6 linked regions of the Callithrix jacchus genome follow. The protein of the gene in region 1 purifies or fractionates together with the protein of each later gene. This does not show direct contact. Links are inferred from orthologs where the notes say so. Each region holds a gene or a part of one and is shown in the gene's direction. Other genes may lie near its edges.

Region 1 (5,338 bases):
TTGGTGGTCTTGGAGACTCCCACAGGTCGGTAGCCCCCTGGCAGACATGCCGGACCCCAACAATCAAGAAACAAAATTACAACAAATTTAGTTATAGATGTAATGGCTTTTACTTGCACTTCATTAATTGGGGCAGATCCCATTATACAAAATAGAATGAGAGCTTCCCCTGGGAAATAGCAGAACAGTGAATTTTGTAAGGTGGGAGCAAGGAAAAAGAACAATTTTTTTTTAAAAAGCTGGTTAACATCAGGTTGCTTCAGGTTACGTTTTAAAAAAGGGTTAAAGCAGAGGGGATTGTCAAGCTAAAGTGGCTCATTTGGGGATTTAGCTATTATTCTGTATCTTTCTACTTATTTCTTGGAAGGTCAGATAAACAAATTAGTTTTGACTTGGTGGCATGAAAGTTTAGTGTGGGTGACTCCATTTTTGGTGGGGCCTCCTGCAGGAGCACTGTCCAAACCAATGACCTCCGACAAATTTTAACATGTCTTATAATATTTATAGTCAATTATAAAGTAATTCTACTTTTAGAATGTTATCTCTCAGGAGTGTCAACTAAGAAGAGGCAACAGACCAAGCTGCAAGGCAGGAGTTTATTGGGGCATAGGAACTGCAATTCAGGAGACCCAGATTCAGCTCAAAGTCAGATTGTGCTCCAAAGAGAGAAATGGGAGTAGGAGTTTTAAAGAAAAATAAAAAGGAAATTAAGGATGATTACACAAATTCTTTTAAAGGAATTATTATTGCTGGAGGCAGCTGGCCAGCATGAGTCTATAGTTCATTGGTTTTGTTCAGGAGACGCAGCACTGGTGAAATATAGCTGGTTTCCAGGACCGTGTGGTCGTTGTAGTTTGGACCAATTCAAAGGTTCGAGGCAAATTCCTGTTGTGTTTTAGTTTTGGTTTGTTTTCCTTTTTGCAAGTTTGCGGGGAGTCCTTAGAATGGCTTCCAGGCTCCATTTTACAGCTCTTAACCAGAGTGACATCGTTTTGTATATCATATTTCACAAGAGATAATCAGGAATGAGCATACCGATCTATGTTTAAGAATGTTCATTGCAACTTTATTTACAATAACATTTGAAAATGTTCTAAATGCTAAGCAACAAAGAAATGGGTAAGTAAACTGTGCTTAGGCTTATTGTGCAGCTTATAGAACTAAAATAAGATTTGATGTTAGTTTTAGAACTGTTTTTAAATAAAAATAAAATAAATAGAAGCTGAACCGTGCCAGGCCTGGCAGAAGAATGACAAGTGGGAGGAGTGAGATCCGGAAAGAGTGGTGGCAGGTGAAGTCGGAGACGACAGAAGAACTGGTTTCCTCCACCGCGGAAGGTATATAGCCTGTCGACGCCCCATTAACGCATGTGGATAGAGAAAGAGACTGAATGGAGGAATGAATAAGACTTGATCCAGGTAGTGTTTCGGGAGCGGCAGCTTTACCTGTGAATCTCTCTGACAAGCGGCCAGTGTACGTAATCAACCATCAAGATGGCGGCGCCCTTGTGGAATCCGCAATTAGGTCGCCGCCATGTGTCTTCTAGGACCGTACTAATTCGACCCACGTACGGAATCAGATTCCAAGATGACGGCATCTGTGAGGAAGTCACGCAGTAGATGCAGCCATGTTACCTGTACGTCGAGACAGTACCAGCAGCCACCGTACGGACTCTATTGACAAGGTGGCGGCCCCATCGCGAAAGCCAGGATTGAGCGCAGCCATGTTCCCGGCGATGGTATGGATCCGGCCACCATACGGATACGTAATCAAGATGGCGGCGCCTAATGGTTTGCGGCGGAGACGACTCACGGGGCCTGCGCAACAGGAGTACGCTGCCTGGGAGGCGTGACCAGAAGCGGAAGTAGTTGTGGGCGCCTTTGCAACCGCCTGGAACGCCGCTGAGGGGGTCTGTGTAGGTTCGCGGGTCGCGGCCGGGGTCCTGAAGGAGTGCGCCGGGAGCGGAGATATGGTGAGTACCGCGTCTAGTGAGGGATTCGGCGGCGGAGGTCAGTGGGGTTGGCAACCTCGGGGTCTGTCGGCCGACTAGGGGGTCTGTGGTGAGCGATAACCGGAGTCTGGACAGAACGGCGGGAGTCTATGGGCAGAATGATGAGCCATCTGGGAATTCTATGGTGAGCCACGGTGGGGGTCCGTAATAGAAGTTTAGTGGGGACTCCGGGTACCCGGTAGTTCCGTGGGAAACCATGATTGGGGGTTCTTTGGGCAGAGGGATAAGGGGGTTGTGAGGAATCACTTTGGGCGGTCTGTGGTGAGCCGTGCTGAGGAAGAGTCCCTGGCCGGGGATCCGTAGACAGCTGAGACTGGGGGTGCGGGTGCCGGGAGGGTCTGTGAAGTAAACAGGGAGGGATGCGTGGAGAACCGTGATGGGAAGTTCAAGGAGTGAGTTAGGCGGGGTCTGTGAGGCGCCACGATGTTGGGTCTCGATGACCCGCCAGTGAGTGTAGACAGAGGGAGCGGGTGCCTGTGGGTGTGTGATGGGAAGTATGAAGCCGAGTAATGGGATGTCAGGGGAAGGGATGGGAGTCAGTGGGGACTGTGATGGAGAGGTTTTTTGGGGGCCCCGATGGGAAATCTGCAGGCAGAGTGGGGATCCGTGCTGACCATGATGGAGCTGTAATGCTGGGATGAGCCGCCACGGTGGGGGCTGTTTAAAGAGCCGTAATGGGGGTGTCCCGCAGGAGGGTGATGGTTCAGACCCAGAGCCTCCAGATGCTGGGGAGGACAGCAAGTCGGAGAATGGGGAGAATGCGCCCATTTACTGCATCTGTCGCAAACCGGACATCAACTGCTTCATGATGTGAGCCCGGGAGAGGTGGGCGGGACTGACACTGGCAGGGTGGGGTAAGGTCCATTGGCTGTGCCCCTTACATATTCACCACCTGTCCCATCCTCTGCAGCGGGTGTGACAACTGCAATGAGTGGTTCCATGGGGACTGCATCCGGATCACTGAGAAGATGGCCAAGGCCATCCGGGAGTGGTACTGTCGGGAGTGCCGAGGTGAGGGCCATGCATGGACAAGGAAGTCAGGAGGGGCTTCAGAGGCGGTGGGGGAGCCACAGTGGGGGATAATGGGGAGTAGTAATACATGTCTGTGGTGAGCTGGAATGGGGGCTGCATTGTGAGTGGTAATAGAAGACCCCACGGGAAGGGGCAGCTCTGTCGTGTACAGAGGTGAATAGGTAAGTGGGACAGTAAGGGAGAAAAGGGGAATAAAGAGGTTTTGGAACCATTCATGCCCTCCATGCTCACCTTATCCCTACTCTCTGCCCCACAGAGAAGGACCCCAAGCTAGAGATTCGCTATCGGCACAAGAAGTCACGGGAGCGGGATGGCAATGAGCGGGATGGCAGCGAGCCCCGGGATGAGGGTGGAGGGCGCAAGAGGCCTGTCCCGGATCCAGACCTGCAGCGTCGGGCAGGGTCAGGGACAGGGGTTGGGGCCATGCTTGCTCGGGGCTCTGCTTCACCCCACAAATCCTCTCCGCAGCCCTTGGTGGCCACACCCAGCCAGGTGAGTGGCTGTATAAAGTGCGTGGATGTGTAAAGTGGTTCCATGTTGGCCCTGCCTGGGTCGGTGATTTCTTCTCTGGGCCCCCTCCTCCAGCAGCAGCAGCAGCAGCAGCAGCAGATCAAACGGTCAGCCCGCATGTGTGGTGAGTGCGAGGCATGTCGGCGCACTGAGGACTGTGGTCACTGTGATTTCTGTCGGGACATGAAAAAGTTTGGAGGCCCCAACAAGATCCGGCAGAAATGCCGGCTGCGCCAGTGCCAGCTGCGGGCCCGGGTGAGCATGGACAGAGCTGGGTAGGGTCAGGTGTGGGAGAGCTGGTGGGTCCATGCAGGGTTAGTTAAGTCTAGGCATGGGCCAGGTGGGATTGTGCCTGACTAGATAGGTGGAAAGAGGCCTGTCATGTCCAGATGAATGGGGCATGACAAGGTATGCTGGGCTGGCAGAAACCCCACTAACCCTGGGTGGACAGAGTGGGGCCAGGTGTTTCCAGTTGGTCATGCATGTCAGTGAGGATCAGGCAGGGCTGAGCATGTCCTGGTAATGAGGGATAGCGGGGAGGTATGTCTAGGGAGGCAAGGCCAGGCCAGGTGGGTGGGGCTAGGACAAGGCCACACTCCATCCACCTGGGGCTGACCTGGGCCTTCCTCCTGCCGGCACAGGAATCGTACAAGTACTTCCCTTCCTCGGTGAGTCCAGCCCCCCAGGGCAGGGCGGGGCATGTGGGCAGGGCGGTCAGGGCCAGTCCTGAGATTCTGCCCTGCAGCTCTCGCCAGTGACGCCCTCAGAGTCCCTGCCAAGGCCCCGTCGGCCACTGCCCACCCAACAGCAGCCACAGCCGTCACAGAAGTTAGGGCGCATCCGTGAAGATGAGGGGGCAGTGGCGTCATCAGCAGTCAAGGAGCCTCCTGAGGCTACAGCCACGCCTGAGCCACTCTCAGATGAGGACCTACCTCTGGATCCTGACCTGTATCAGGATTTCTGTGCAGGGGCCTTTGATGACCATGGCCTGGTGAGCAGACAGGCGCATCCCCTGGTGGAAGGGTGGAGGTGACAGAAGCAGAGAGTATCTCTAATGAGGAGACAGAGGGTATGGAAGGCTGATTTGGGACATGAGTAGGTGGTGGGGTTGTCATGAGGGGGGCAGGTGGGTCAGTGCATGCCCTGCTTGCAGCCCTGGATGAGCGACACAGAAGAGTCCCCATTCCTGGACCCCGCGCTTCGGAAGAGGGCAGTGAAAGTGAAGCATGTGAAGCGTCGGGAGAAGAAATCTGAGAAGAAGGTGACGGAGAGGGTAAAATGGATGTGGAAAGGCAGAGGGTGGGGATGAGGGAGAGGCAGAGCTCAGAGGCTTAATGGGGCAAGAGCCAGAAAGGGCTGGAATGGAGCAGGAGACCGGGGTCTGGGGCTGACTTTGACCACCCTGACCTGACCTGTCTTGCTCCACAGAAGGAGGAGCGGTACAAGCGGCATCGGCAGAAGCAGAAGCACAAGGATAAATGGAAACACCCAGAGAGGAACGATGCCAAGGACCCTGCGTCGCTGCCTCAGTGCCTGGGGCCTGGCTGTGTGCGCCCCGCCCAGCCCAGCTCCAAGTATTGCTCAGATGACTGTGGCATGAAGCTGGCAGCCAAGTGAGCCATTCCTGCGGGGTTTAAGGGAGTCAGGAAGTGCATGGTAGGGCCTGACCACAGCCTTCTGTTGTCTACCAGTCAATCAGCTATCCACCATTCAGTCACCAGCCACTACCCGCTCAACCCAACCACCTACCCACCCATCTGCCCATGTGTCCATTCATCCACCATT
Region 2 (4,639 bases), on another chromosome or scaffold:
GGGTAGGTTATACAGTAGGAACTGGCTTCTGGGGCCTCACCCCATGGACCTGAGCATGGCAGGAGAACAGTTCTCAGAGAAAGACCGTGGAAGTCATATTGAGTGGGCAGATGCCCCCAAAAGTTGTCTCCTAAATGAAAAGGGTGGGCAGGTTTCCTTTGGGACAGTTGCAGAGGGAAGTGTATGTGCAACAGCTGCACTGGGAGGGGACTGGTCTCCTTTGGGGCAGGCTTCCCAAGGACATGTGGGCTGGATTGCAAGGTGATATGTGGGGGGCACTGCCCCAGCATGGTAGGGAGGAAGATGAGAGGAGGCCCGGGTGTATTTGGGTCCTTGCTAGCTTCCTGGAGTGGGTTGCTGCCACAGACTGAGACCCCAGCGGGTGTTCAGAGCCTAAGGAGCCGCTGAGGGCCTGGCTCAGGTCGCCAGGGTGGGGAGTGCAGTGGACTCAGGCGGATTGCTGCCCCTAGGGCCAGACCTGGTGCCAGCGGCCCTGTTGGCACTGAGTGGGGGAGCCAGCTGTAAAGCCACTGAGTCTGGGCTACAGTTCACAGCATAAGCTAAACTCACATGGCCTGGGGGCAGAGCTCCTTCTGTCATCTGGTAACTGTAACCTCATCTTAGTGCCTCAGATTCCCTGTCTGTAAGATAGGAACCTTTGACAGGCACAGTGGCTCACACCTGTAATCCCAACACTTTGGGAGGCAGAGGCAGGTGGATCATGAGGTCAAGAGATGGAGGTCATCCTAGCCAACATGGTGAAACCGTCTCTACTAAAAATGCAAATATTAGCCGGGTGTGGTGGCTGTGCCTGTAGTCCCAGCTACTCAGGAGGCTGAGGCAGGAGAATTGCTTGAACCTGGGAGGCAGAGATTGCAGTGAGCCAAGATTACACCATTGCACTCCAGCCTGGGCCACAGAGCAAGACTCCATCTTAAAAAAAAAAAAAGATAAGAACCTCTTTGGGCTCTTGTGAGAATTACATGAGTTACTCTACGTAAGAGGTGTGATTGCTGTTAGGCACAAAAATCCATTGGGCTGACTCTGAAAGGCTCATTCAGGCTTTCCCAGGGATGGGGGTCCAGGGAGGATGGACTCCCTGTCCTGGGGGTGGCTGGGGAGGCAGTACCCCCAGCTCAGAGCCAGTGTGTCCCCTCCCCAGCCACCTGCATCCTGTGATCTCTGCTCCAGCCTCGATTCTCTAGCAGGACTGTCTCCTGCCCCTCCCCACAGGGCAGGTCCCAGTTCTGTAGGGGAGGGGGAGGAAGGCAAGTTACATAAAATATTTTAATACAAAGATGCTGCTTTTTAGGTTGTGTTGTGTTCACTTTGCTAAACTGAGAATGTTGTTTATGGTGGAGATAATGGATATTTTAGCTGAAATGTGACTGACTGGATCCTTGGCATGGGACATGGCTGGGGACTGGGTGCAGGGCTCTTCTGCCAGTTTGGGTAGGAAAGTGGAGTCCATGGCTTGTGTTGTGTTGGCATCCCCCATTGGGCTGTGGCTCCAGAAGACATAGAAGGTGTCTGTCTGCTCCAAGCATCCCCTTCGCGTGTCGTGGTGGGAATGAGCTGGTGGGAAACCCCCTCCCATCAAGGGAGTCCATCTGGCCAAGATGGAATGCTGAGCACCATCCATTGGGCTGAGGCCGTGGTGTCTGTGTACCCCTCGAAGTTCCTGGGCAGAAGCCAGGGAGAACGCACAGCCTGTGGTCATGGGTGGCCAGGGCAGCTGAGCCTAGATCTCCCTGACCTCCCTTTCCTGTGTGCTTCCTTCCCAGGCCCTGCTGAGGAGCAGCCCCCCAGTGTGCCCCCGCCTCCCCTAGAGCCACCTGCTGGGCCCCTAGCCCCTGCCCCACGCACTGAGGAGCGCCCCTCTTCTCCCATTCCCCTTCTGCCCCCACCTAAGAAACGCCGGAAAACTGTCTCCTTCTCTGCCACCGAGGTGATGCCAGCTCCAGAGCCCCCTGTAGCCACGCTGCCGCAGGCCAAGTCTCCCGGCCCAGTCTCTCGCAAGGCCCCCCGGGGCATGGAGCGGACCATCCGCAATCTGCCCCTGGACCACGCGTCTCTGGTTAAGAGTTGGCCTGAGGAGGTGTCTCGTGGAGGCCGGAGCCGGGCTGGAGGCCGAGGCCGCACCACTGAGGAAGAAGAGGCTGAGCCAGGGACAGAGGTAGACCTGGCAGTACTGGCTGACCTGGCCCTGACTCCCTCCCGGCGTGGGCTGCCTGCCCTGCCTGCCGTTGATGACTCGGAGGCCACAGAGACGTTGGACGAGGCTGAGCGCCCCGGGCCCCTGCTCAGCCACATCCTCCTGGAGCACAACTATGCCCTGGCTGTCAAACCCACGCCCCCAGCACCAGCTCCACGGCCCCCGGAGCCAGTGCCCGCACCCGCCGCCCTCTTCAGTTCCCCAGCCGATGAGGTCCTGGAGGCCCCTGAGGTGGTGGTGGCTGAGGCGGAGGAGCCCAAGCCCCAGCAACTGCAGCAGCAGCGGGAGGAGGGCGAGGAGGAGGAGGAAGAGGAGGAGGAGGGAGAAGATGAGGAGGAGTCCTCCGAGAGCAGCAGCAGCAGCGACGGGGAGGGCGCCCTCCGGAGGCGCAGCCTCCGCTCCCACACCCGGCGCCACCGCCCTCCACCTCTGCCCCCGCCACCACCACCCCGCGCCTACGAACCTCGCAGCGAGTTTGAACAGATGACCATCCTGTATGACATTTGGAACTCGGGCCTGGACTCAGAGGACATGAGCTACCTGCGGCTTACGTACGAGCGGCTGCTGCAGCAGACAAGCGGGGCTGACTGGCTCAATGACACCCACTGGGTCCATCACACGAATATCCTGAGCATGGGCGCCAGGGCGGGTGGCCTTCCTTGGGCCTTGTGGGCATGGGTCCTTCTCCGACCCCTCCTGGTGCCTCTTTTCTGCCTCCCAGAGCATTTCTGGCAGGAACCATGGGGCTGGAGCTTCCTCCCCTCTCCCTCACCTGGGTGTGCTCAACGGTGTGGGCCCCACCTCTCCTCAGGCTGGGATGCTTGTGGCCAGAGAGGAGACAGTCTCTTCCTTAACACCTCGCACTCACCAACCTAACCACCCCAAAACGCAAGCGGCGGCCCCAGGACGGGCCCCGGGAGCACCAGACAGGCTCAGCCCGCAGCGAAGGCTACTACCCCATCAGCAAGAAGGAGAAGGACAAGTACCTGGACGTGTGCCCAGTCTCGGCCCGGCAGCTGGAGGGCGTGGACACTCAGGTGGGCCCAACCTTGCCCCAGCCCCACCATCACGTGCTGCATCCTCCTCCAGCGCTTCTCCCACCACTCAGCCTCCCTGCCCTGCTCACCTCCTCCCTGGCTGTTCTCACAGGGGACGAACCGCGTGCTGTCCGAGCGCCGATCTGAGCAGCGGAGGCTGCTGAGCGCCATCGGTACCTCTGCCATCATGGACAGTGACCTGCTAAAGCTCAACCAGCTCAAGGTGAGGCCCAGTGGCAGTAGGGGCGGGTTGCAGTAGGACAGGAAGGGGCAGAGGCCAGGGGACTGCTCAGCAGGCTTGTGTGGTCCCTGTGGGTGCTGAGGGGGTAGTGAGCGGCCAGAACACTCTCTGCCTGGGAGTTCTGTGGGAAGAGAAAGGGGCTGAGGTGTAGGAGGTGTCCGGCAGTTGAGTCTCCTTTCTGTCCCCCAGTTCCGGAAGAAGAAGCTCCGATTTGGCAGGAGCCGCATCCACGAGTGGGGTCTGTTTGCCATGGAACCCATTGCTGCTGATGAGATGGTCATCGAATACGTGGGTCAGAACATCCGTCAGGTGAGGCTGAACTCCCAGCCCCGCCCCAACTCCTGATGCAGCAAGACAGCACCAGATCGCATACACATGCCATTTGTCCTGGCTAAAGCCTCGCACACCCCCTAGCCCCGAGACCTAACCAGTGAGACCAGCCTCCCTCCGGTGCAGTCAGGAGGTGCCAGTGTTCCAGCACGAGGCACAGCTGATGGCACTTCTCCCTTTCAAGGGCCTGGGAAGGGGGAGGACAGGCATTGAACAAGTATCCACACAAAAGGACAGTGTTCCAGCCTGGGCAACATGGCCAGACCCCATGTCCTCAGAAAATGCAAAAGCTAGCTGGGCGTGATGGTGCATCCCTGTGGTCCCAGCTACCTGGGAGGCTGAGGTGAGGGGATTGCTTGAGCTCAGGAGGTGGAGGCTGCAGTGAGCCAAGATTGCACCACTGCACTCCAGCCTGGGCCACAGGGTGAGACTGTCTCTAGAAAAAACAAATGCCTAAGGGATGGCATTTGGTATTAAAGAGATCTGGGGAAGTGGGGCTATGGGAGCACACACCTGGGGGCCTAAGACCTCCCTGAGACCGTGGTGCTTGAGCAAAGCTGAAAGGAGCTCGCAGGTCCAGGTAAGGGGCGGTGTTCGTGCCTGGGTGCAGGATACCATGTGCACAGGCCTGGAGGCAGGGTTGTCTTGCAAAGGCATGGAGGTCAGCTGGGCTCATAAGAAACCAGGGCCAGTGGCAGTGACGTGTGCCTGGAGGGGAGAGGGAGCCCAGACCGTGTGGGCTTGGGAGCCTTCTGCAGAAGAGCGTCTTTCTGCAGAAGAGGGGCCTGCAGTTAATGAGCTCCCTGTCTAGGCTGA
Region 3 (4,639 bases), on another chromosome or scaffold:
GAGGAGTGAGGGGATACCTGTCAGCTGGACCCTTTACCTCCCCGCCCACTTCTGCAGGGTGGGGAGGACCCCCCCCCCACTCTTCCTTGGGATTCCCCCGAAAACCTTGTTTATTTTCTTGCCCCCCCTCCTGAGGGTAAAGTAGTGGAACTAAATATGTTGTCTGTTGCTAGGAGACGGTCTGTAATTTACCAAATGTGCCGGTCCTTGGCCACCGCACCCCTAGGGACCACCCGGAGGCTTCCCCACCGCTGACACCCCGGTGGGCCCCCTCTCTGAGCCCTGGTGGCCTGGGTTTAGACAGTCCCAGTGTTGCCTGTGTTAGGGGAGGAGGCAGAGTTTGTTTACTTGTGGGGGACTGAGGGAGTGCCACTAGAATGCCTTTAAATGGGTCAAGAGAAGGTCTGGAAACTAGAAAGAGTCCTCTAAGGATTCAGGGTGTCCCCCTCCCTCCCTTGCTGCCCCTTCCCCTTGGAAGTGGGAGCCAATCTGGGGCCGGGAGTGTTGTTTCATTGATAAGGTTCCTGATTGAGCTGGGAAGAGAGGGGCGGGAGGCTCAGGGTGCTCCAGGGTTGACACTGTGTCTTCCCTCCTCTCTCTTAAAGAGACCGCAGCACCTCCCCTGCACTGGAATCAGCTGGGTGCTCTCTGGTGCTGGCTGGGGAGGCCACACCTCCCATCCTATGGGTCTGCAGAGGCCCCTGCAGGACCGATGGGGCTTGCAGGACTCCAGGGCATTCCCCAAAGTGTGCCTGATGCCTCTCTAGGGAAGCTCCCACCAGTAAAAGAAGGTTCAAGTGATCTGAGGATGGGCCAGCCCTGTGGGGAGACACTGGGTCCCTAGCCCACCAGTGTCCCTTGGGAAGCCATGCCGAGAGGGGAAAAGTGCAGCTTCCAGGAATTTCGTGAGGGGTGGGGGGGGTTCAGGGACAACCGGGACACGCCAAACCCAAAGCAAGAAAATCAGAACTTTTCTTTTTTTTTGCGTTTAATGATTAAAATGTATTGACCAAACTCTAAGCTGGTGCCGGGGGTGGTGGTGATTATTTCACCCACACTCACCGAGCCTGTGCCTGGTCCTGTGTCTCCTCTCAGGGCACAGCCTCTCAGTCTCTGGGGGATGGGGGGCAGTGAGGACCTTGGGTGGCTGCAGTCTGATTTCTCTCATAACTGAATTGAATGTGGCACCCCCTCCCCCATCACAGGCCCACATTTTAAGCAGCAGCCAGGTCTCAACAAAATTTCATTTCTGGGGAAAAAAAAGAAAACACAAAAGCCCTCAGAGACTGCTAGCTAAGTTTGTATTTCAAGAAAGAGACCAGTAAAGTGTAGCTCCAGGAACGGGTCTTTTTTGCATATGTAAGCAGCTGCCTCTGAGACTCTATAAATATCGATAACCCCCGGGCCCGGTCTAGAAAAGCCTCTGTCTGCTGAGGGGTGGAGGGTTGGAGCTCAGGGTAGGCCCCTGGCCGCCTTGAGGCCCTCAGCCTGGTCAGGGGCTGTGGCGTTCACGGTAATGTGCTCCTAGAGTGTATTGCAAAGTCCACTGCTCACCTGGCCCCAGATATTTACAAACTCTGGCTTCTGTGCCACAGGCTTCCCGTCCTCTTGTTGCAAGCCCTTGGCTGTTGAGCAGAAAGGGGATAGGCCTGGCTCTTTCTTTGGGCACCATGGCCCAGGTAATGGAGTGGGGGTTGGTGTCACAGGTAGCAATTTTGGGTTTGAGTTGAGAGGAGTCTCAGCCCCAGGAGGCATTAGCTTCTGGATCTCAGGATCAGAAAAATGGTGTAGATCAGCAGCTTTGTTGAACAGGTGGCGACCCTGAGTAAGTTCCAGAGGGGGCGGGAACTCGGTCAGGGTCACACAGCCTCGCCAGGCCTGGGGTCTCAGGCCCAAGGGACCCACCAGGGTGCCATGCAGGTTGGAATCCCTGTGGGGGCTGCCCCGTCCTGGAACCTCACTGAGTCACCCCTTTCCTGCCCATCCACAGGGGAAACCCGAATGCGGTTCTATGAACTGTTGGTCACTGGCCGTTACACCCCGCAGACCCTCCCAGTGGGCGAGCTGGATGCTGTCTCTCCAATTGTGAATGAGACCCTGCAGGTGGGTTTATGGCCGTCAGTCTGCCCCATTGCCAGTGCTCTGATGTGCCCCCCACCTCTGGAAAGCCTCACCAACTCTGATGGGACCCCTCCAGCCCACCCCACCTCTCTCTCTGCAGCTTTGGAGACCAAGGCCTAGGAGGTTGTGAAGCCTGGCCACGCCCCCCAAGCCTTTCTGCAGTGGGGCTCCCTGGGATTGGTCCTGTTTCCTGTGGCATTCCCCTGTCCCCAGCACAGGCTTCAACTCCCACAGACCCAGAGCCTGCCCGGGCTCGCTTTTCCATGTTGATGCCAAAACATTGCTGCTTCCAGGGTCCTTAGTATCTCGTGTCCTGGGTACACCACTATCCCGAACCCAGAAACTGGAGTTCATGCCCCACCTTCCAGAGGAAGACTGCCTCCTTCCAAACCACTGCCTCCCAGGACTTGGGACAACTCTTGTGTGGGGCGAGTCTCATGCCAGCTCCTCCCTGGCATTGGGCATCAATCCAGTCACCTCGGGACTGAAGAGCCTTTAGCTGCCGCTGGCCTGTTCATCACTTTATTTTTATTTTTTTATTTTGAGAGAGTCTCACCCTGTCCCCAGGCTAGAATGCAGTGGCATGATCTCGGCTCACTACAACCTCTGCCTCCTGGGCTCAAGTGATTCTCATGCCTCAGCCTCCTGAGTAGCTGGGATTACAGGCACACGCCACCACACGTGGCTGATTTTTGTATTTCTAGTAGAGATGGGGCTTCACCATGTTGGCTAGGTTGGTCTTGAACTCCTTACCTCAAGCGATCCACCCACCTTGGACTCCCAAAGTGCTGGGATTACAGGCGTGAGCCACCGCACCTGGCCCTGACCCGTTTGTCACTTTAAATCCTAAAACATTGGGCGGCTGGGAGAACAAAGCCCTTGGCCATCCTCTCAGGCACAAGATAGTTCTTGGGCATAATCCTGCCTGGAAGGTCTGATTTCTGACAGCCAGAGGCAATGAAAATCCCAGCCTAAACCAAGATGTCATAGTCTTCTCTCTTCTCTAGCTCCTCTGGGAAATTTGGAAAAACCTTCAAGTTTCCCTGAACATAATTGGTTACCCCTAAGATTAGAAAAAAAGTTAGTACCATCCTGACATTGCTCCTCAATCCCCCACTCCCATTCCTTATGCAGCCAGAGTGAGAAGGGAAATCACACCGCCCCACCCCCCAAGAGAAAGGGATCTCACCTCTCTTTCTCTCCTTAGCTGTCAGATGCCCTGAAGCGCCTCAAGGATGGAGGCCTGTCTGCAGGCTGTGGCTCCGGCTCCTCCTCTGTCACCCCCAATAGCGGTGGGACACCGTTTTCCCAGGACACGGCTTACTCCAGCTGCCGCCTGGACACACCCAACTCCTACGGACAGGGCACCCCGCTCACGCCGCGCCTGGGCACCCCCTTCTCACAGGACTCCAGCTACTCCAGCCGCCAGCCCACACCCTCGTACCTCTTCAGCCAGGACCCTACAGTGACCTTCAAGGCCCGGCGCCACGATAGCAAGTTCACGGACGCCTACAACCGCCGCCACGAACATCATTATGTCCACACCTCTCCCGCGGTCACTGCAGTGGCTGGGGCCACAGCCGCCTTCCGGGGTTCCTCAGACCTCCCATTTGGAGCAGTCAGCGGCACTGGGGGCAGCAGCGGCCCCCCCTTCAAGGCCCAACCACAGGATTCGTCCACATTTGCCCACACTCCACCGCCCGCCCAAGCAACCCCAGCTCCTGGATTCAAGTCTGCTTTCTCTCCATATCAGACCCCAGTGGCCCACTTCCCTCCACCCGCAGAAGAGCCGACCACCACCCCTGCCTTCGGGGCCCGTGACGGTGGGGAGTTCCGGAGGGCACCAGCACCCCCACCCCTGCCACCTGCTGAGCCTCTGGCCAAGGAGAAGCCAGGCACGCCCCCTGGCCCGCCGCCCCCCGACACCAACAGCATGGAACTAGGCGGCCGGCCCACCTTCGGCTGGAGTCCTGAGCCCTGTGACAGCCCCGGCACGCCCACGCTGGAGTCGTCCCCTGCGGGGCCAGAGAAGCCCCACGACAGCCTGGACTCACGCATCGAGATGCTGCTGAAGGAGCAGCGCACCAAACTCCTCTTCCTGCCGGTGCACGACTCAGACACTGAGCTGCAGATGGAGGGCAGCCCCATCTCCTCCTCCTCCTCCCAGCTCTCCCCGCTGGCCCCCTTCGGCACCAACTCCCAGCCCGGCTTCCGCGGCCCCACTCCCCCATCCTCGCGCCCCTCCAGCACCGGCCTGGAAGACATCAGCCCAACACCTCTGCCAGACTCTGACGAGGACGAGGAGCTCAACCTGAGCCTTGGGCCTCGGCCTCCACCTGAGCCCGGTCCCCCGGACCCTGCTGGGCTTCTGGGCCAGACAGCTGAGGTGGCCTTGGACCTGGTTGGAGACAGAACCCCGACTTCAGAGAAGATGGATGAGGTATCACCATGTCTGTCCATCTGTTTGGGACTGGTTTTGTCCATCTTACATCTCCCTTTCTCCCTCGAAGCATTTAGC
Region 4 (5,437 bases), on another chromosome or scaffold:
CCCCAAAAGGAGGGTGACAAGACCCTTTTATGCCCATAAACCACCTCCGGGGTGAGCGTGTGGGGCGGGGTGGGGGTGAAGGGATTCAGACATTCTGAAGGCCAGGGGATTCCGTAAATCACCTCCCTGGCAGAGAGGAGGGTGCAGGTCTCTGGACATTCCAAGGGCTAGGGTTTACACATCGTCTGGGCAGTGGTGGAATCCACAGATCTTAGTTACCTATTACAAGTCACAGGAGCCAGGATGGAATTAACTTGGGCTGCTTATTCTGGTCATTACCGGTAAGCAAAGGCCAGCAATTCTGGCTGTCAGTGATAAGAAAAGGTAAGCAGGTAATGGAGACCATCCTGGTCAACATTAGCTGGGCATGGTGGCGCGTGCCTGTAACCAGCTACTCAGGAGGCTGAGGCAGGAGAATTGCCTGAACCCAGGAGGCGGAGGTTGCAGTGAGCCGAGATTGCGTCATTGCACTCCAGCCTGGGTAACAAGAGCGAAACTCCATCTCAAAAAAAAAAAAAAGAAAGAAAAGGTAAGCAGTTTTATTTACAGAAGCCAAGGTTAGCAGTCATTGTGAGGAGAATGGGGCAGCCGTTACAACTTATTTTTGAAAAACAGCTTTGTCTTTTCTAAAATGGTGTTGCTCAGGTTCCAGCTATAGCACAGAGGTTGCAGTGAGCTGAGATCATGCCATGGCACTCCAGTCTGGGTGACAAGAGTGAGACTCCATATCAAAAAACAAGAACACCAACAACAATCCGGTTTACTAACATGGAAAAATGTGTAAGATTTAACACTAAAAGGGGCGAGGGTTGCATCTATAAGGTTTATATGCATATATATGAAGAGAAGAAGAAATTCGAATTTAAAACTGTATCCTCTGGCTGGGAACAGTGGCTCATGCCTATAATTCCAGCACTTTGGGAGGCCCAGGCTGGCAGATCACCTTAGGTCGGGAGTTCGAGACCAGCCTGGCCAATATGACAAAACCCCATCTCTACTAAAAATACAAAAATTAGCTGGGTGTAGTGGTGAGAGCCTGTAGTCCCAGCTACTCAGGAGGCTGAGGCAGGAGAATCGTTTGTACCTGGGAGGTGGAGGTTGCAGTGAACTGAGATCTTGCCACTGCACTCACCTGGGGGACAGAGTGAGACTCCTTCTCAAAAAGAAAAGTTATGAAGCCGGGAGCAGTGGTTCATGCCTGTAATCCCAGCACTTTGGGAGGCTGAGGCTGTTGGATTACCTGAGGTCAGGAGTTCGAGACCAGTCTGACTGACATGGTGAAACCCCATCTCTACTAAAAATAAAAAAAAATTAGCTGGGCATGGTGGCACACGCCTGTAGTCCCAGCTACTCGGGAGGCTGAGGTCAGAGAATTGCTTGAACCCCGGAGGCAGAGGTTGCAGTGAGCGGAGATAAGACCAATACACTCCAGCCTAGGCGACAGAGCGAGACTCCGTCTCATTGAAAAAAAAAAATTGTGCACTCTATTGTATATCACAGCCCAATAAAATAGTAAAGAGGTCGAAGCTGTCTAAGCGGGCGCTGCGGTGGAGTAGCGGTCAAGACCGCCTGCGAGCGGTTCACCTGATTCACCCCCAAAACCGGCTTCCAGCCGCGTTCCCGACCCCAAAGCACCCCTTCCGCGCGGCTTGCGGTTGGGGCGCCTGTAGGGGACACCCGAGCCTTCGTAGGGGGATGTTGCAAGCCCGCGCAAGGGCCCCCGGCTCCCAGGCACTCGCCACCTTCCGACACCCTGGGGAAGGCCCTGCACGTCCCGACCCTTCCCTCCCAGCAGCCCGCCGAGCCACTACACTCGACAGCGGCAGCGCTGACGTCACCGCCCCGCCTCCCCGCCTCGCGCGGCTGTTCCCGCCCCGCCCCCTTTCCCGACGTGCGCCGCGGCTAAAGCTCCTCGCCCTCCGCTTCTGCCTGTCGCCCCAAGATGGCGGACACAATGAGCCGGCTACGCGCTAGTTGCCCCTGAGGTGGCTGTGAGGACCAAAGATCGGCGAGGCTCCACAGTCCAGGCAGAAGACTGTTGTCCAAGCAGGAGGAAGGGGAGGAGGCGGCCCAACTGTCGGCCGACTTCCCGCTAGCCGCCGGCGCGGCGCCGGCCCCGCCTGGTTGGCCCCTCGGCAGCCCGCCCGCTCGCCGCCGGGCCCCGCCCCGGCCCTGCGCCGCCGCTGCCTTCCCCTGCCGCCGCCATGAAGCTGACCGACAGCGTGCTGCGGAGCTTCCGCGTCGCTAAGGTGTTCCGCGAAAACTCGGACAAGATTAACTGCTTCGATTTCAGCCCCAACGGCGAGACGGTCATCTCGAGCAGCGACGACGACTCCATCGTGCTCTATGACTGCCAGGAGGGCAAGTGAGTGAGGCGGAGGCCCTGGGCCCGGGTCTCAGTCCCTCCCTCCCTCCCTCCGGTGGCCCAGCACTGGTCCCTCTGCCCGCCCTCCGTCTCGACTTCAGTCCCCGGTCTATTTTGCACGCGTTCCTGCCAGGGCCACCTTCACCCCGCAGCCGTCCAGGAGACCTTTTATTTTTTCTTCTGAAAAAAAAAAAAAAAATTGTGATAGTCATAATAATGGCATTATTATTTGTATGTCTAAGGTCTCCTTAAAGCGCTATGCATCGCTTGCCAAGCCCCACCTTGACCTTGACCTTTAAACGCCCGGTCTGCCCACCCCGGGCCCAGCAGGTAGCGTTTTCAGCTCCTCAGGTTCTCTAAGGTGCTGGTCGTCTCCGTCCTCGTCGCAGGACTGCAGGGGCGGCTCTCCTGACTCCTTCGGCAGCTCTCTCTTCTGCCCTCTCCGCTGTGACCTCGATTCCTCCCTGGCACTCCGCCCATCCCCTGCCCCTCAGCTTCTTGCGACCTTTCTGCCGTCAGGCCGCGTGGGTTGCAGTTCTTAGCTGTCAGGATTTATTTGTTGTGCCTCTTTGAGCCCCCTTGCATTTTCTTCCTGTTCCTAGGCTCTCTCTTACTCCGTCAGAATCGGTGCCCACGTTCTTAAGTGAACTTCTCAGCAGCATCTAAAACTTCCTTTTTGCCACATACAAACAAACTTGGTCGTCCCATCCTGACCTGAATGTGAGCTTCCGTTAAAACAAAGCAAGCATCGTAGAACATTTTTGGGTTTCCTTTCATCCTTTTTTAAAAATTATTATTAAATATGTTGGTCCACTTTGAATTCCAATTCTGACCATGACATTTCTATGTTGCCGCAAGTCATCTGGAGACCCACCACACCTGCATCTTTTCACAAAACCTAAGCACGGCACTTTGCCTTTTTCCCTGGGGGGTCCCTGGCAGCCCCCTCACCGCACGCCTGTGGACTTGCAGCTCCTTGGAGCCAAAACTAGCTTAGATTAAATTCGTTTTACCCTCAGCCCCCTTCCCCATGAAGGCTTGCTGATGTTTGGTTTAAATCGGTGGCCCCTGGTTTTGTCAGACTTGATTTTGTTACTTAGTAACACATCTTGTTTTTTTGAGATCTTGGGTTTTTTTCTACCTTCTCCAGCTGTTTCTTTTGCTTTTTTTTTTTTTCCCCCCCTGGTGTCTTTTGGAACGTGTCTTTTCATTTGTGAATTTGATTATCTGAGGTAACACTAGTTTGGACTGAGCTATAGTGGTATCCCCCCCCCACCCCCAGTTTTTTCCCACTGGGGCTGTGAAAAAGTGTTATGTAACTGGCTCTGGATCTGCTTGCAGTATGTGGCAGGGTGGTCTTGAGGAGGGAATTGTTAGCTGGGCAAATAGTTTGAGTCAGTGTTACTCATTTAGTAGATAGATTTCTGTCCTGGTCTGGTCACTTGAATCAGTTTAGAAGAGGAAGTAACATTTAAAGGTATGGTAGTAGCTGGAGTTGTGGAGTCCTGGAGTAGTAATTTGAAGCTGGCTTGCATGAAACGTTTAGTGCTTATGCACAGATTAGGACCTCTTCCCAGAATATGAGGATGGAGATCATATATCCTCATTTAAAGAAAATGAAGGTTGTGATAGCATTTCTTTGCAGTTTGTCCCCAAATTTGGCATAATTTCTCTTTGGGAAGTATAACCTTGACATGAGTCTGGTCTGGTTTTTTTTTGAGACAGTCTCCCTCTGTCGCCCAGGCTGGAGTGCAGTGGCATGATCTTGGCTTACTGAAACTATCGCCTACTGGATTCAAGCGATTCTCCTGCCTCAGCCTCCTGAATAGCTGGGATTACAGGTGTCCGCCACCATGGCCTGCTAATTTTTGTGTTTTTAGTAGAGATGGGTTTCACCTCATTGGCCAGGCTGGTCTTGAACTCCTGACCTCAGGTGATCCACCCTCCTCAGCCTTCCAAAGTGCTGGGATTACAGGCATGAGCCACTGTACCTGGCCAAGTCCTGTCTTGTTAAGAGTAAAATGCCAATTTTGTGACATCAGGCAGTTTATTCACTCATGTAGCATTTTTATGTAATTACAAACATAGAAATTTGCAAGTGTTTCAGAGAACTGCCATATGATTCAATAACTGGTTACATTTTCTGCATTTGCTTCATTACTGCATGTAAATATTTATATATACTGTGTGCCTCCCCCCAACCCTTTTTTTTTTTTTTTTTTTTTTGAGACGGAGGTTTGCTCTTTTTACCCAGGTTGGAGTGCAATGGCGCAATCTCGGCTCACCACAACCTCCGACTCCTGGGTTCAGGCAATTCTCCTGCCTCCTGAGTAGCTGCGATTACAGGCATGCGCCACCGTGCCCAGCTAATTTTTTGTATTTTTAGTAGAGACGGGGTTTCACCATGTTGACCAGGATGGTCTCGATCTCTTGACCTCGTGATCCACCCCCCTCGGCCTCCCAAAGTGCTGGGATTACAGGCGTGAGCCACCGCTCCTGGCCCCCAACCCTTAGAGTTGGAAATATCAAACCCCTTTATCCCTAAACACTTCGACATGGATTTTCTTTCCTTTTTATTTTTTCCTGAGACGGAGTCTCACTCTGTCACCCAGGCTGGAGTGCAGTGGCACAATCTTGGCTCACTGCAACCTCCACCTCCCAGGTTCAAGCAATTCTTCTGCCTCAGCCTCCTGAGTAGCTGGGATTATAGCACACCCAGCTAATTTTTGTGTTTTTAGTATAGAGAGAGGGTTTCACCATGTTGGTCAGGTTGGTCTCGAACTCCTGACCTCATGATCCGCCTGCCTCTGCCTCTGAAAGTGCTGGGATTACAGGCATGAGCCACTGCACCCAGCTCAACATGGATTTTCTAAGCACAAAGACATTCTTATATAACCAGAGCACAATTGTCCAAATTAGGAAATTTAGTATTGATACAGTACTACAGGTCAGGCTCTTTAGAGTTTTCTCTGGTCAGTTAATTGTGACCTTGTTTCATCATGGTCTGTGGTGAAGGAGTGGCCTGGTGGTCAGGAGTGAAGTAGGTTCTAGTTTTGCCTGTGACTAAGTATG
Region 5 (4,639 bases), on another chromosome or scaffold:
TGAAACCAGAAGAGGTTGTTCACAAGGAGAAACGACGAACGAAGAGCTTGTTAGAGGAGAAACTTATGTTGAAGTCTAAATCAAAAAGTCAAGGCAAACAGTTAAAAGTTATAGAAACAGAATTACAAGAAGGTGTCACAAAACAGTCAACCACTCCAAAACCAGACAAGGAGAAGAACACAGAAGAGAATGACTCAGAAAAACAGCGAAAGTCTAAAGTTGAAGACAAACCTTTTGAAGAAACTGGTGTTGAACCTGTGTTAGAGACTGCTTCTTCTTCAGCACATAGTACACAGAAAGATTCTAGTCACAGAGCCAGGTTACCGTTAGCAAAGGAGAAATATAAGAGTGATAAAGACTCCACTTCCACTAGGCTTGAGAGAAAGTTGTCAGATGGCCACAAAAGCAGAAGCTTGAAACATAGTAGTAAAGACATAAAAAAGAAGGAAGAAAATAAATCAGATGACAAGGATGGTAAAGAAGTTGACAGTAATCATGAAAAGGCCAGAGGTAACAGTTCAGTCATGGAAAAGAAATTAAGTAAAAGGTTTTGTGAAAAGAGGGGAAGCTTATCACAAGAAATGACCAAAGGAGAAGAAAAATTAGCAGCAAATACTTTGAGCACTCCCAGCAGTTCTTCCCTTCAGAGACCAAAAAAGAGTGGTGATACAACATTGATCCCTGAACAAGAGCCAATGGAAATTGATTCTGAGCCAGGCATTGAAAATGTGTCTGAAGTATCTAAAACCCCAGACAATAGCAATAATAATTCTCAGCAAGACATTGACTCTGAAAATATGAAACAAAAAACGGTTGCCACAGTTTTAAAGGATGAATTAAGAACTTTCACAGCAGATTCAAAAACAACAGCTCCAGCTTGTAAGTCAGGCCGTGGAACAGGAGTTAACAGTAATTCTGAAAAGCATGTTGACCACAGAAGTACCCTGACCAAGAAAATGCATTTCCAGAGTGCTGTGTCCAAACTGAACCCTGGAGAGAAAGAACCCATTCATAGAGGAACTAATGACGTGAATATAGATTCTGAAACTGTTCACAGAACGTTACCAAGTGTCCCATCAGAAAATGATAGGGTACAGAATAATTTGAAAAATGCAGCCAAACCCACTGAAGAACATGTTGCTCAAGGAGATGTTGTTCTTGAACATTCCACAAATTTAGACTCCTCTCCATCCTTAAGTTCAGTGACTGTTGTGCCTCTGAGAGAATCTTGTGATCCTGATGTAATTCCTCTCTTTGACAAAAGAACTGTTTTTGAAGGTGGCACAGCCAGCACCTCCCCTGTGGATCACTCTGCTCTCCCTATTCAAAGTCTGACTGTTAAGGAATCAGAAGTCCTTAAGACAAGTGACAGCAAAGAAGGTGGTGACAGTTTCACAGTAGATACACCAGCAAAAGCAAGCATCTCTAGCAAAAGACACATTCCAGAAGGTCACCAGGCTACTTTATTGGATGGCAGACAAGGAAAGATAATCATGCCTCTTGGAAGCAAGTTAATGGGCATGATTGTGGAAAATGAGAATGTTACCAAAGAAGGTGGCTTAGTAGACGTAGCCAAGAAAGAAAGTGACTTAAATGCAGAGCCCAACTTAAAGCAGACAGTTAAAGCAACAGTAGAGAATGACAAGAAGGATAGCATTACTATTGATCATGCTGTAGGCATAAGTACAGAAAAATACACTGAAACTGTCCAACTTAAGCATAAAAGAGGCCTAGGCAAAGTAAAAGACATATCAATTGATGTTGAAAGAAGTAATGAGAACAGTGAGGTAGACACCAGTGCTGGAAGTGGCTCTGCACCCTTTGTTTTACAGCAAAGGAATGGACAAACTGAGGATGTGGCAACTGGACCTGGGAGAGCAGGAAAGACTTCCGTTGCCACTAGTACAGAAGGGAAGGACAAAGATGTCACCTTAAGTCCAGTGAAGGCTGGGGCTGCCACAACCACTTCTTCGGAAATAAGAGAGAGTGAGGTGGCTTTGCCCTGCACCAGCATTGAGGCAGACGAAGGCCTCATAATAGGAATACATTCCAGAAATAATCCTCCTCGTGTTGGTGCGGAAGCCAGTGAGTGCACTGTTTTTGCTGCAGCCGAAGAAGGTGGGGCTATTGTCACAGAAGGATTTGCTGAAAGTGAAACCTTCCTCACAAGCACTAAGGAAGGAGATAGTGGGGAGTGTGCTGTGGCTGAGTCTGAGGACAGAGCAGCAGACCTACTAGCTGTTCATGCAATTAAAATCGAAGCCAATATAAATAGTGTTGTGACAGAGGAAAAGGATGATGCTGTAACCAGTGCAGGCTCTGAAGAAAAATGTGATGGTTCTTCAAGTAGAGACTCAGAAATAGTTGAAGGAACTATTACATTTATTAGTGAGGTTGAAAGTGATGGAGCAGTTACAAGTGCTGGGACAGAAATAAGAGCCGGATCTATAAGCAGTGAAGAGGTGGATGGCTCCCGGGGAAATATGAGAATGGGTCCCAAAAAAGAAACAGAGGGCACTGTGACATGTACAGGAGCAGAAGGCAGAAGTGATAACTTTGTGATCTGCTCAGTAACAGGAGCAGAGTCCCGGGAGGAACACATGGTTACAGGTGCAGGTGTTGTCCTGGTAGATAACGATGCACCACCAGGAACAAGCGCCAGCCAAGAAGGAGATGGTTCTGTGAATGATGGTACAGAAGGTGAGAGTGCAGTCACCAGCACAGGGATAACAGAAGACGGAGAAGGGCCAGCAAGTTGCACAGGTTCAGAAGATAGCAGCGAAGGCTTTGCTATGAGTTCTGAATCAGAAGAAAATGGAGAGATTGCAATGGACAGCACAGTAGCCAAAGAATGCACTAATGTACCATTAGTTGCTGCTGGTCCTTGTGATGATGAAGGCATTGTGACTAGCACAGGTGCAAAAGAGGAAGATGAGGAAGGGGAGGGTGTTGTGACTAGTACTGGAAGAGGAAATGAAATTGGGCATGCTTCAACTTGCACAGGGATAGAAGAAAGTGAAGGAGTATTGGTTTGTGAAAGTGCAGAAGGGGACAGTCAGATTGGTACTGTGGTAGAGCATGTGGAAGCTGAGGCTGGAGCTGCCATCATGAATGCAAATGAAAATAATGTTGACAGCATGAGTGGTGCAGAGAAAGAAAGTAAAGACACAGATATCTGCTCCAGTGCAAAAGGCATTGTGGAAAGCAGTGTGACCAGTGCAATCTCTGGAAAGGATGAAGTGACACCAATTCCAGGAGGTTGTGAGGGACCTATGACTAGTGCTGCTTCTGATCAGAGTGCCAGTCAGCTTGAAAAAGTTGAAGATATCACTATTTCCACTGGCCTGGTGGGGGGTAGTTATGACGTTCTTGTATCTGGTGAAGTTCCAGAATGTGAAGTTGCCCACACTTCACCAAGCGAAAAAGAAGATGAGGGCATCATCACCTCTGTAGAAAATGAAGAATGTGTTGGCCTCATGGCGACTACGGCCAGTGATGATATTACCAACCAAAATAGCCTAGCTGGGGGTAAAAGTCAAGGCAAAGGCTTAATGATTTCCACCAGTACCACAAATGATTACACCCCTCACATAAGCACCATTATAGATGTAGAAGGAGGTCACTCAACTGCTCTGAGAACTGAAGAAAATATGGAAGGTACCAGAGAAAGCACAGAAGAATTTGAGGCCCCCATGCCCAGTGCAGTCTCAGAAGATGACAGCCAGCTCACTGCCAGCAGAAAAGAAGAGAAAGATGAGTGTGCTATGATTTCCACAAGCATAGGGGAAGAGTTCGAAGTGCCTATCTCCAGTGCAACAACCATGAAGTGTGCTGGAAGTCTGCAGCCAGTTGCTGCCGCAATGGAAGAAAGGACTACAGGTCCAGTCTTGATAAGCACCGCCGACTTTGACGGGCCTATGCCCAGTGCACCCCCAGAAGCTGAAAGTCCTCTTGCCTCCACCAGCAAAGAGGAAAAGGATGAATGTGCTCTCATTTCCACTAGCATAGCAGAAGAGTGTGAGGATTCTGTTTCCAGTGTGGTTGTTGAAAGTGAAAGTGAGCGAGCTGGTACAGTCATGGAAGAAAAAGACGGGAGTGCTATCATCTCTACGAGCTCAGTGGAAGACTGTGAGGGCCCAGTGTCCAGTGCTGTCCCTCAGGAGGGAGGCCACCCCTCAGTCACACCAGCAGAAGAGATGGGTGACACTGCCATGATTTCCACAAGCACCTCTGAAGGGCGTGAAGCAGTCATGATTGGTGCTGTCCTCCAGGATGAGGATCGGCTCACCATCACAAGAGTGGAAGACTTGAGTGACGCTGCCATCATCTCCACCAGCACAGCAGAATGTGTGCCAATTTCTGCCAGCATCAACAGACATGAAGAGAATCAGCCAACTGCAGGCAACCCAGAAGGAAATGGTGACCCATCAGCCACAAAAGTGAGCAAGCACAAGGTCCCCATGCCCAGCCTAATTGCTGAGAATAACTGCCAGTGTCCTGGGCCAGTCAGGGGAGGCAAAGAACTGGGTCCTGTGATGGCCATGAGCACTGAGGAGGGGCACAATGGGTTATCAGTCCAAATACCCTCTGCAGAGCAAGGCCATCCAAGCGCTGTTTGTGCAGAAGGAGAAGAGAAGCA
Region 6 (4,073 bases), on another chromosome or scaffold:
GCCCAGGAGTTCGAGACCAGCCTGGACAACATGGTGAGACCACCCCATCTTTACAAAAACGACAAAAATAGCTGAGTGTGGTGGTGCATGCCTATAGGCTCAGCTTTTCAGGAGGCTGAGGCAGGATGATTGTTTGAGCCAGGAGGTTGAGGCTGCAGTGAGCCATCACCGTTTCATTGTACTCCAGCCTGGGCAACAGAGTGAAACTATTTCAAAATTAAAAAGAAAATAAATTAAAAAATTAATAGATTTAAAAGTGTTATTGTTAGGTCAGAGGGTTATGAACATTTAAGGTTAATACATACATTGCTAAATTGATTACCAAAAGGTAAGCAGTTTATGTTCTGACAGTACATAGGAATAGTCATGTGCCATTGTCAATTCTTACTTTAAAGGTAGAAATGAGACGAAATGGAGAAGGCGTTGTATCCCTTGGATATACTTGTTTAGAAAAGAACTGAGTTTTTTCAGAGTACATGGAGGTGAGCTCATTTCAGTGTTAGCATTATGTAAGCTGTGACCCTTCCCATTTTCAGCATTGAGACAGCAGGAAGCCAGTCAGGAAATGAGATAGTGTAAAGTTTGGTCATGCATTTTTTGCCACAAAGGGGACTAGGTATTTATAGGGTGTGGTTCTGAGTTTCCGCTCTGATTGGTAAACTCTTTTTTTATTACCCAGCCTGAAGAAAATTCGTGGCAAAGTGTGGAAGCAAAGAATATCTAGCCCTCTGTTCAACACCAAACAATACACAATGGAACTAGAGCGGCTCTATCTACAGATGTGGGAGCATTATGCAGCTGGCAACAAACCTGACCACATGATTAAGCCTGTTGAAGTCACTGAGTCAGCGTAAAGAAAGACTGCACAGGAGAATTACCCCTATACCTGAGCCTCAGCCTTCTGGGGGAAAGGGAACTAGATAACATACTTCTTACTTGTCTGTACAGTACCTTGTTGCAGATGGGTGATATATAATGGTAATAGAATAGCACAGCCAGACTTGCTTCCTGCATGATAGGGAGAGACACAAGAGATAAGAGATGGGAAACTGCTGTTGTTCCACAAGGAATCTCCGTAGAATTTTGCAGCAACCAGATGATGCATAGGTCTGGAAAGTCTGATCTCCCTTGGTCTTCCATGGGATGGTTAGTGTGGAGGGGAGATATAGATTATCCAGCCGCTTTGCAATTCCATGGATTGATTCAATCTTCTGGATGAATTTTTTTCTTTATATTTTGGGTATTGGAACTTTTAAAAATGTTTGGTTTCAGGTATTTTTATTCATGTGAAGTGTATATGATTCTCTTGAGATAAGGTTTTAAGCTAAAATATTACTCCCTGTTTTAGTTTCTGAACTCTGACAGATCGACAGGGACTTTGCTGGTGTAGTCTTTTTATAGGTTTTATAAACCACTTGAGCCTATATCAGTCGTTTTAGTGTCTGACCTAATGTTTGGAGCTATCAGTGCTTTGTTGATTTAGATGATGACTCAAGATATTTTCTGGTCCATTTCCCATTTCCTTCTCTTCCCTGACCCCCACACCCCTACCCTTAAAATTTCTCCTGTAACTCAGCTAACAAAATCAAGTCTGATTCAAAACATCCTAGGGTGTTTCTCTTAAACACACCATCTGGTGCCAAATGAAGACTTTTAGGAGTGATTACTAATTATGAAGGTTACAGTTCTGGTACTGTCATTGATAATAATATAGATTTTTTTTTTTTGACTAATTTTGACCTATTTCACCAGTGTTTTACCCTTGACTGCCCCTTCTATGCTGCTTCCAAAAGTGATAGTGTGTGTTAAGATTTTTACCTTCCTTTCTAAATTTTTTTTTTAAGTGAGTCCTGTTCTTCCTATTTCTTTCAGCAGAAATGAAATCCCAGGTAAGTATAAGTATTCAAATCAGTAAGTCACAATTATCTCTGGTGCATTAAATAACTTTCATCAAGAAACAGGTTATAGGTAAAATCTCTGAAGGACCATCTGTGTATTCAAGTAACTATTTTTTAGAACTTGTAGGGTATTCTATAATAACTGTCTTCTGGACTTGGTCTTGAAGTCTGTACAGATTCAGCCTCAATAGTAGCAAACTGCACTGGTACTTGGTTTGGAGTACAAATTAGACTTACAGTCCTCCTGGAACTTGAGTTTTTGACATTAAAATCATAGGAATAATATTATGGGATCTTAACAAAGGGTTAAGGGTTTGAGGTTTAAACAGGCCAACATATGAATATATGTTTTGTTTTGCTGTTCTGCACTTATGCTATCCAGTCGCAGATAATTTTTTGTCTGCTAGTAGTACTCTAGATTATGTCTTTCCAAAGTGCTGAAGCTGTGCACCTATTCTGTAGTTGCAGCTGATGCCTGAATGTATCCTAGCTGACAAATTATTGATTAGTAAGAACTTGAATTTCTGAAAGATTCTTACTGTTAACCAAATTTTGAGCAAGGAGTCTTGAAGGTAATTCTGAACCAGAATTACATGTTAATAAACAATGTACCTTTTAACAATGTAAATCGCAGAATATCAGTGAAGGGATTTCTTAATTTATTTTTTACCTGATGATTGAAATATCAAAGGTTGCCAGCATGGTTGCAGATAAACTAATGTTTGAAATTCACCGAATTACTTAATGTGGAATAATAGGATAATATACTTCCAGTGCCCTCAAGGCTGTGACTTTACGGCCATTTTACATAGCACATCATTCCTCCTATAGGGATGAACTTTTTCCTGGCACGAAAAGTAACCGCTCTGGTTGAAGCTTTGCTTATTGTAACAGGCTTTTATTTCCAGGTAACATGTCTGTGGAAGACTTAATTCTGATTAGAGATATAGATATTACTGGAAACTAATTGTTTTTTTTCCTATTGTACTCTGCTTTATCAAAGAAGTAAAACATTTAAATCGCGCTACAGAAATTAAGATGTTGTCTTGCGATCCTTGAACAATAAATGAATGATTTCCCCTTAATATGGCTGATGTATTTTGTCTCCTGTTATATTGAGTGTTACCGAAGAATAGGGTCATCCAGTGATGAAACCTGTATTTGAACAGCTCCCAACAGTATTAAAGGACCAAATTTCCCTTCTTTAGCTATGATATTAGGAATTGTTTTCTCAGCCAGGTCTGGTGGAGGGTAGGGTTAGTTTATGATCCATTAAGAAGACAAAGCAGCCGGGTATGGTGGCTCACACCTGTAACCCCAGTACTTTGGGAGGCCATGGCAGGTGGATCACTTGAGGTCAGGAGTTCAAGATCAGCCTGGCTAACATGGTGAAACCCCATCTCTACCGAAAATACAAAAAATTAGCCGGGCATGGTGGCGCATACTTGTAATTCTAGCTACTCAGGAGGCTGAGACAGGAGAACCGCTTGAAACCCGGGAGGTGAAGGTTGCAGTGAGCCGACATTGTGCCACTGCACTCCAGCCTAGGCAACAGAGTGAGACTTCATCTCAAAAAAGGAAAAGAGAAAGGCTGTGATCACCAACGCACCCATTCATGCTTGTTCCTCTTTTGCTTATGACCTCTCTGCTTTTATTTATACTTGTTGTTTCAGTCTTCATGTGGACCATTCTTTTCTTGGCTCTTTGGGGGCAAAATTATTTTCCTTCTTGCTGTGTATAGTGGTCAAACTCTGCCACGAGCGTGAAGAAGGAAGATACCAGTGCATGAGGGGTCAGAACACACTGTTTGCCAGTTTTCTCAGAGATATAAGTGAGAGGGACAATGTTTTTCGGTAGCATTTTGCATAATTCCCAACTTCTGTTGGTTGTACCCTTAAAGCCCTAATGTGGATTGGTGTTTGTTTCCTAAAAGATTACTATGGGAAGAAAGGTGTCCAGTAGCCTACTCAAAAGTTTTTACTCCTATCCGCTTCTGTTGAAGAATCTGCATTATTTCCAGTCTACTTTAGCTCCTCCTGCCTTCAGTCTAAAGGAGTTGCTTGCACACCTGGAGTAAATGTGTGTAATTTCTGAACTGCCCGTTTTAAGATTTGATTCTAATCCTAACTCACTCTTACTTGACCAATATGCCTCTCAATTATAGCTAACATTTTG

What was found.
Region 2: the proteins of CXXC1 (region 1) and SETD1A purify together in Homo sapiens (affinity purification with western blotting; 16 studies listed by BioGRID and IntAct, counting the BioPlex papers as one, with this or other methods). This does not show direct contact. The link is inferred for Callithrix jacchus from reciprocal best matches to the Homo sapiens genes CXXC1 and SETD1A.
Region 3: the proteins of CXXC1 (region 1) and SETD1B purify together in Homo sapiens (affinity purification with mass spectrometry; 11 studies listed by BioGRID and IntAct, counting the BioPlex papers as one, with this or other methods). This does not show direct contact. The link is inferred for Callithrix jacchus from reciprocal best matches to the Homo sapiens genes CXXC1 and SETD1B.
Region 4: the proteins of CXXC1 (region 1) and WDR82 purify together in Homo sapiens (affinity purification with western blotting; 7 studies listed by BioGRID and IntAct, with this or other methods). This does not show direct contact. The link is inferred for Callithrix jacchus from reciprocal best matches to the Homo sapiens genes CXXC1 and WDR82.
Region 5: the proteins of CXXC1 (region 1) and BOD1L1 purify together in Homo sapiens (affinity purification with mass spectrometry; 5 studies listed by BioGRID and IntAct, counting the BioPlex papers as one, with this or other methods). This does not show direct contact. The link is inferred for Callithrix jacchus from reciprocal best matches to the Homo sapiens genes CXXC1 and BOD1L1.
Region 6: the proteins of CXXC1 (region 1) and OGT purify together in Homo sapiens (affinity purification with mass spectrometry; 3 studies listed by BioGRID and IntAct, with this or other methods). This does not show direct contact. The link is inferred for Callithrix jacchus from reciprocal best matches to the Homo sapiens genes CXXC1 and OGT.

Annotation. Positions count from the first base shown.
Region 1 is NC_133514.1:93,469,569-93,474,906, reverse strand, and holds the start of CXXC1 (CXXC-type zinc finger protein 1), read left to right. Parts: upstream 1-1,860; 5' UTR 1,861-1,969; coding exon 1,970-1,972; intron 1,973-2,702; coding exon 2,703-2,821; intron 2,822-2,921; coding exon 2,922-3,022; intron 3,023-3,299; coding exon 3,300-3,535; intron 3,536-3,628; coding exon 3,629-3,808; intron 3,809-4,194; coding exon 4,195-4,221; intron 4,222-4,298; coding exon 4,299-4,544; intron 4,545-4,706; coding exon 4,707-4,826; intron 4,827-4,981; coding exon 4,982-5,166; intron 5,167-5,338. UniProt on the Homo sapiens protein: Transcriptional activator that exhibits a unique DNA binding specificity for CpG unmethylated motifs with a preference for CpGG.
Region 2 is NC_133513.1:30,506,845-30,511,483, forward strand, and holds part of SETD1A (histone-lysine N-methyltransferase SETD1A), read left to right. Parts: intron 1-1,784; coding exon 1,785-2,837; intron 2,838-3,079; coding exon 3,080-3,252; intron 3,253-3,364; coding exon 3,365-3,475; intron 3,476-3,682; coding exon 3,683-3,802; intron 3,803-4,639. UniProt on the Homo sapiens protein: Histone methyltransferase that catalyzes methyl group transfer from S-adenosyl-L-methionine to the epsilon-amino group of 'Lys-4' of histone H3 (H3K4) via a non-processive mechanism.
Region 3 is NC_133510.1:125,008,228-125,012,866, forward strand, and holds part of SETD1B (histone-lysine N-methyltransferase SETD1B), read left to right. Parts: intron 1-1,990; coding exon 1,991-2,103; intron 2,104-3,328; coding exon 3,329-4,561; intron 4,562-4,639. UniProt on the Homo sapiens protein: Histone methyltransferase that catalyzes methyl group transfer from S-adenosyl-L-methionine to the epsilon-amino group of 'Lys-4' of histone H3 (H3K4) via a non-processive mechanism.
Region 4 is NC_133516.1:34,801,347-34,806,783, reverse strand, and holds the start of WDR82 (WD repeat-containing protein 82), read left to right. Parts: upstream 1-1,914; 5' UTR 1,915-2,204; coding exon 2,205-2,365; intron 2,366-5,437. UniProt on the Homo sapiens protein: Regulatory component of the SET1/COMPASS complex implicated in the tethering of this complex to transcriptional start sites of active genes.
Region 5 is NC_133504.1:180,293,768-180,298,406, forward strand, and holds part of BOD1L1 (biorientation of chromosomes in cell division protein 1-like 1), read left to right. Parts: coding exon 1-4,639. UniProt on the Homo sapiens protein: Component of the fork protection machinery required to protect stalled/damaged replication forks from uncontrolled DNA2-dependent resection.
Region 6 is NC_133524.1:68,862,872-68,866,944, forward strand, and holds the end of OGT (UDP-N-acetylglucosamine--peptide N-acetylglucosaminyltransferase 110 kDa subunit), read left to right. Parts: intron 1-679; coding exon 680-854; 3' UTR 855-2,983; downstream 2,984-4,073. UniProt on the Homo sapiens protein: Catalyzes the transfer of a single N-acetylglucosamine from UDP-GlcNAc to a serine or threonine residue in cytoplasmic and nuclear proteins resulting in their modification with a beta-linked N-acetylglucosamine (O-GlcNAc).